Linked DNA regions of Drosophila melanogaster. The protein of the gene in region 2 purifies or fractionates together with the protein of the main gene of each other region. This does not show direct contact. Each region holds a gene or a part of one and is shown on either strand. Other genes may lie near its edges.

The links. Proteins that work in one complex are often made in the same cells at the same time.
Region 1: the proteins of LpR2 (region 2) and Apoltp purify together in Drosophila melanogaster (affinity purification with western blotting; one study listed by BioGRID). This does not show direct contact.

What each region holds. Positions count from the first base shown.
Region 1 is NT_033779.5:9,632,116-9,635,872, reverse strand, and holds the start of Apoltp (apolipoprotein lipid transfer particle), read right to left. Parts: upstream 1,695-3,757; 5' UTR 1,545-1,694; intron 1-1,544.
Region 2 is NT_033777.3:25,738,714-25,742,470, reverse strand, and holds the start of LpR2 (lipophorin receptor 2), read left to right. Parts: upstream 1-2,005; 5' UTR 2,006-2,226; intron 2,227-2,848; 5' UTR 2,849-2,860; coding exon 2,861-3,416; intron 3,417-3,757. Other genes in the region: LpR1 (lipophorin receptor 1), read left to right, coding at 1-79, 156-317, 459-491.

The DNA of each region.
Region 1 (3,757 bases), on a different chromosome or scaffold from region 2:
ACTTCGGGCCAAGTGGTCCGACCAACAAGTGGACAGATCGCTTGAGGAAATTAAAGGAAAGCCGCACAGTGGGCCCCCGCTAATGCGCTCTGTGAGTTGCTGACGTGCATGGTGACATTTGAGTGCTTTGGGAAAGCCATAATCCTTTCACCTGCACAATCTGAATCTGTCACCTGCAAGTGCTGCATGTTTCATGTGTTGGATTCAGTGTGAAAGCAACGAGCATACAACATGTTGTGCGGAAAACAATAAATGCGCTAAGAGTTATGGAGCTCCCTTTGTCTGGTGTTAAGGGGCAAAATGTTTTTCAGTCTTCTTTTACAACATGAAGTGGACTAAAAACCATGCTTAGAGTAAGCAAAGAGTCTATCAAATAATCATAAATCTAAAGATAATTCATAAAAAAATTTGAAGTATATAAGTCATCTATTGGGATGACGTAAAAATAAGATGTTTCTGCATTTCTTCCTACAACAATAAAGAACGTGTTTAAAACTTTATAATTGATATACGGTATAAAAGAATAAACAATATTATATCATATAAAAGCATTTTGTTTTCACTCTTATTATGGTTAAAATATTTTAAATAAAAGCATTCCATTTTTAATGGCTTAAATCTTCTCGAAAATCCAAGCTTATATATAGTTTTTTATAAGTGTAAAGTTCATCTTCATTTTACTTAGCTGCGGAAACGGATCTATTTTTTTTTTTTCAAAAGTAGTAGCTGATTTCATTCTGGAATCTCTTATCATTTGACAGTAATCAGTTCAAAGTATTTGCACGTTTTTGTATTTTTTTATTGATCAGATTATTCACTCATATAATGTTGTATTTCATTTATAGATGAAACACAATGAATGATTAAATGTACTCCAGTAACGGTGCAAGCATTCATTTGATATTTTGAAAATCAATATAATAGCATAGTTATTCATTTATATATAGACGTAATAGCACATTTAATATGTCAATTCATAGTTTCACTGCAAAACATTTCACAAGAAGAGTAAATAAGACAGTTTGAAACTGAGAGATCTTTCTCTGCTCTTCCTCGACAGTTGCTTATCACTTCACACACTTTATTTATAAGACCCGACATTGATTAAACTGCGACTATTCCCTCTTGTTTTGTATTGAACTCTTGACCCAACTTATCTGGGTACGAGACTGATTCCGATTTAAAATCCACACGTATGCGATGTTAAATAGTGATTTCAACGACATGTGGCGCACAGGTTTTCACAGTTTGAGGTTATTTTCGTAAACTTTCCACGTTCTTTCTCCACATTTTCCGCTACATTTGGGTTTTGCACCGCAATTGCATGTTCCCCATTTGAATTTGCAGCTTTTTACTGCACTTTATTGTAAAAAAAGAGCACACATTAATGAGCTGCATGCTCATTTCCGGTACGTTAGGCACAAACTTGCACAGGCCAGCTAACCCACGCACACATACGCAGAGACTAAGGAATTAAGTGCGACGGCGCAACAGGATGGCGTACAAGTGCCAACGAAGGCAGCAAATGGTGAATTTATCCTTACTTCCGGTTCGAACGCGCCGCCAAACCGTCAACAGGCTGGTTCTTTCTCTCTCTCGCTTTCGTTTCCGGTTCCGTTTTACAGCTCGCCACTCCACTTAAGTTCTGAGGAAGCGTCCGTTGCCCACGAAGCGGCAAGCACGAATGAGGCGATGGATTCTGGCTGATGCTTGATTTTGATGCTGATGCCGCCGCTCGTTTTCCGCTCGTTCGTTCGCAGGCTCTCGGCTGAGCCGACTATCGGCACAGACACTGGGGCACTCGCCCTGTAACCCCGCGATGCACTGAGAAAAAAGATTGATTAGAGCGAAAAAATTAATTCTCTCTTAAAGATAAGAAACTATAAGTCTGCCACTTTGAATACTTAAAATTTACAATAAAATATTTTATTTCTATGTTATATTGAAGAAAATCGTAATCGTAATGCAATCTTTTTTCGAGTGCTTGATGTCAGGCCCACTTTTGGCAGATAAGAGACCATGTCTTTTTTGCGCTGGAACATCTACTCGGGTTTCAAAGTGCGTGGTGAATGAATGGGGGACTGCGAATGGGAATATCGGGAAGTCAGGAGTAGAGGCTGAAGCCGGGTCATGAATGAAATTGTCGCGCGCATATCAGACGCATGCCAACACAATCGAAGTCACCGCTGCAGTCCATCCTAATGGCTGTCAGCTCATGTTATCGGAACTGGACTGGCCGAAAAGCTTCCCGCTGGCTTGTCGCCCACACAAATGCCTTTGGTCATGCCATATTTCAAAGGATTTTGCCGTGGCACTCTATGCCCCGTGAATACACTGGCCTATTGGGCATGTTAATACTCTACCGTATCCCCAACTTTTTGTTTTGATGCGATTTCGATTTCATACTGTCAAATGTATGCCGCTACCACTGATGTGTTTTGCTTATCGGTTTGAACTTTATATTATTTATTCCATCGACTCTGGTCCCTGCCACCCCAAATGCCTCACGCTGTGCGGTGCGTATTTATTTTGTAGTAAAATCAACAGCCGAACCATAAAGAGAGGCCAATCCAAACAAGCGAAGAACCGGAGGACCGGAGTCGCAGTTGCCCTTCATGCGATTGTGGCTGATTGATTGCAGGAGGAGCAGAGATAACACAAGCGCGGCGCAGAGACAGCTCTGATAAGTGGCGTATGGGAGATGTGTGATAAGGAGTCAGGCGAAAGGTTATGGATTGCTGTTAGGAAGATCGAAGCTATCAGCTCCATGCTCTGAATGGTAATATTTTCGAAGTGGATAACATATGGGCCAAGAACTGAGCAAATCCGATGACCAACAGACGGAAAAGTTAATATACTTTATAAGATCTGAGCAAATATAACGCAATGGTATAGTGCTAGCAAGCAAAAAATGTTATATACAAAAAATATTGTTTGAAAGTGTGAGAATATTTGGCTTGTGTGTGGTTTGCTATTTGTGATTTCACCGGCGATTGTTCAATAACACAAACGCTTGTCGTGCTAAAATCGGAAGTGAATGCCTTCAATGGCATTGGTGTTTTTCAATAGGGCAAACGAAGGCAGACCCCTGGCAGCTGTTGTTGTCTAGTTGGGTCAGATTTTTGGGGCTCGGTATCCAAGCTGATCCGGCTGCTCCATCTGTTGCGGTCCATGGCCTGCTTGCTGGGTCAAAAAATATTCCAGGAATTTAATTTTCCAATGAAATATGAAAAATATTATGAACAATTCGGTGGCGCAGCGCGGAGGGGCTAAGGCATGGAAATCACAAACAAAATTAATGCAAAATTGTTATCCCAGGACACAAAAGCGGGGAGTTGTCCAATTGCGTAACAATTCGAATCAAATGCTCGTGTGTACTGGGAGGAACCTTTTGAACCATTTATCGTTTATTTTGCCTTCTTTCCCGGGAAACCCCGGGTATGCAAATCAAACCGGAGCCGAAGTAAAAGGGAAAACTTGTAAAGTTATCAACTGGGGAAATGAGGGCTTTGCAGGTGTCGGAATCGTTTCTAGCTATATCTACTATACTATATGTGCAACTGTATCCCCTGGGTATTTTTGCATGCGTGTCAATAAAATAAGTGCTCCGCTGCATTTGGCTGCTTTCTGTTGCACTTTTCTGCATATGAGTGGTAAATACTTGAGAGCAAATCTCGCCAGTGTCTTTGGGCGTCTTGTGAAGTTGGGAAAACTTAGACCCAACTCGAATATCTCGAATAGAGCTTGAAATGGCCCG
Region 2 (3,757 bases):
CAGTGAGCAGCCGGATTCCGGCTTTATTGCACTGGTGGTCATAGCCAGTCTTAGTGGATTCGCTGTCCTGCTATCGGTGGTAAGTTGATTGGGCAGAGATGTGGCGACGTTCGGGGTATTCAATTAACTAATCAATTTATGTGGTGCCCTGACAGCTCCTGCTCATTGGCTACCGCTACTGCAGCAAGCGACGCATCAACTCGATGAACTTCGAGAACCCCATCTACCGCAAGACCACCACCACAGAGGATCACTTCAGTTTGCGCAAAAATCTGCCGGCGCGGATCTACGACCACACCAGTGTCATGGATGAGGAGGTGGGTCTCCAATTATTAATTACCATAAAAATCCAAGTATAATGATAAGCATTGGGTTTAACACACCCGCAAATGATTTAATTTCCCTTCCATAATATTAATCGGTATACTTATTATAATTTATCTTAATTTATCTTGCAGTACTCACCCGTCATAGGCATATCCTCGTATTAGATTGATTCCTCTGGAATCGTGTGAAATGTGGATTGGATGATTGTTGCGCTTGGTCGCTGGGAAAATTAGATGACCAATGCTAACTCGAGACCCGCGGCAGAAACACACACGCCTGAAGACTGAGCAACTCTGTGTATTGTGTAAATTAATTATTTTAAAATTTTAAGGCACGGCAAGGACGGCGGGTCACCTTGGAGCGCATCCTTAAAGGATGCTGTACAAAATACTATGTCGCAGAGTTCTATCACAAATAAACAAAAGAAAAACAAAACAGAAATAGTTACGAGAAACGTAAAAGGAAACGAGAAATCTAATTGCTAATTATAAATTACATAGTTCCAAACTGTATATAGCTGTAAGTGTGCATTATTTTTAAATGACGCAACTTAATATTACTATACGTAAACATGACAAAGAGATCATTGTGCTTATGGTCTACTATTAGAGCAAGTTGAGAAATTATATTTCTGTTGTCAAGGAGCAGAGTCGTTTTATTATATTAAAATTATTACTGCATACGTATTAGCCTTTTGTTAACTGTATTTGTTAAGTGTACATACATATGTATATGTTTCCCCACTAAAAAGAAAATATGATGAATAATAAACTCAGAACATACTTATGTGTAGCGTACTCCTGTGATATAATTACATGACTTTGTGGATGGGATTTTAATTTGATTGATTTCAAAGTGTGAGTGGTAAGTTGCCAGCTATTTTTCCAGTTTTTATTTCCAACATTGTCCAATTTACAATTTTTTGCTGAATTTGTAGCATTTCGTTTCATCTTCAGATGCACAGCTGTTAAAAATGCACATATATTTCTGTTCCTTGAAGAAATCTCAATTGGAAATGTACCGAAGGGGAATAATTCATCAAAGCTTGATGATTTTACACTTTGATGATATCCAGACTTGCTAAAAGCCCATCGTGTTTCTCAAGCATCTTTGTTATTCAAATGGAAACCATGTTATGAATTGAAATGCAGAGGTACAGGTGCTGTCAATAGATCAATTTCCGCTACAGTAAATGGTTTAACATTTATTGACCAATTGTGATTTACGTGTGTCTATGCTACAAAGCCCATTACTAGTTTCAATCGAAGCCTTGACTGATTGACCCGGGCCAACAAACAATTTAGACCTGTAATTTTAGAAATTGCTACCTCACTAATTGGATGCCGAAACGACAAATAGTGGAACACACCTCCAAAATAGATTGATACACGTTCTAAGAGAGCGGCCGAAGAGAGAACCACCTGTTAGCTCTGATTCAATGTCAGCTTATTTGCGCACTGGTAGCTTTGTCTTCTCTTTGTGTTGGAGATCGAGGCTTTTGATTTTCAACGCTTTGGGGCTCCCCCCGATGATGACGTCGACACTCTCTTTTCTCTTCGCAGGTGTGATATGGTACGCGTGGCGATCGTCGGTTCGTTGCCGAACGAAAGACGAGCACTGCCGAAGTTTCTAAGACGGTTCCATTGGTCCGCTCACTTCGGAAGCGATATTCCGGCAGTTTGTACTCGCAGTGCGTGTCGCTAGGTCGTCGCTGGTCGCTTATCGCTCATACGCCCCATGCTTTGGATATAACTTCACCGTTAAACCGAGAAATTTCGGAATGCGAAAAAAGTTTCGGAAAGCAAAAGTTCAAAGCAAATAAAAAAAAGTTCAAGCCGGGGCTTTAAGGCCAGCTCATCGCATTTGTCGAGCGGAAATAAGTGTTAATTAAAAAAAAATGTATGAATCTATTTTGGCCGAACGTTACGTCAATATGTCATGTGAAAAAACAGCATAAATTTTAGTCCAACATGTGTTTTGCCATTCAATAAAGTAAATACAAGATTTGAACAACCAGAACCCATTCCGAGCTGGAATAATGGTGTCAATGGGTAGTGGCTGCGCATGACTTACCAGGCTTACCTGGCTTATCAACCGTTATACCGCTGATAGCAGATATATCCAAATAAAAAATTATTTTAATGTTTTAAAATGAGTGAGAGGGACAGCATAAGGGGCTAACCCTCGCTTTGACCAAAGGCGTCGCCCTTAGCTTGCAGTTTTATGTGTGTATTTCGTGTTTTCTGTGCTCTTATGCTGTTTTTTCGCAACATCGTATGTTTCTTTTTCCCTTCATCGCCTTTTCCGCATGTTTATCGTACCTATGCCTTACACTCTCATCCCGATACAGTCGATTCATTCTCTCACTTTTGTGAACGTTTTTTTGGCAAACGTTGCGTGTATTCGCCTAAACTTATTATTTAATGGACGTGTATAAATAAGTTGGCAAATCGAACCAGAGTGAAAAGCGTGTGTGACCCACTGAGCCTAAAGTGCAATTTCTACCGTATATATATTCTAGCAGCTGCAAAAGATGGCCACAACCTGCATGCCGCATTTCACGGAATATTTTCAAACCACCACCCAGTCAGAGTTAACAACAAATGAAAGTGCCAACAGCAGAAGCAGCAGCAGCAGCAGTGGCTGTAGAGAACCGTCCAAAACCAGTGGCTTCTTCTACAGCGCCAGCACACATTACCAGAGCAAAGTGCAGCAGCTAATCAGCTTCAGCTTCACCTCATCGTTCCACCTGCTCTTCATCACCTGCATACTGAGCATCAGCAAATTCTGCAATGCGGCGGCGGTAAATGCCGCCCATGTGACCGCTGCCACGCCCACTGCCAGCGAGATAATGCACAATCTGAGCGGATCGGCGCTGCTAGAGCGTCTGAAAGCCAGTACTCTGGGACCCACCCTCGATCAGCTGAAGCATCTGGCTCCTGCGGCAGCCAACAGCATTAGTCCTGGTACAGGATCTGGCATGGGAATCGGGATGGGACACTTTGGCAGTTCCATTAATTCGGTGCTAAACGGAAATCCTTTAAAGTTCTTGAATGTGTCAGGAAAAATCGGCACTCCTTTGGACATATGTAAGTTTTTACAAGCCCATAAAAATGGTTTATTCCTAGAAGTTCTAAATGCTAGAGGTATTTGTAGTTATAAATCTTTTAGTCACTCTTTTTATCAACTTGTATTTATTTTTATGATTCATGAAAGGCTTAAACATTCATACATATTGCCGGCGAATTATTAGAATTAGTCAACTATTAACATCACGTCACAAATTAAGCTTTCCATCATATCAAAACTAATCATTTTTGTAAGAGTTGCCGTATTTTAAATATCTATTAAAAAGCTATGAATATAAAATTCAAAACTAAAGTGCAGAATAATCAAAATTTAAACTGAAAAATAATTTAAATCACAATAT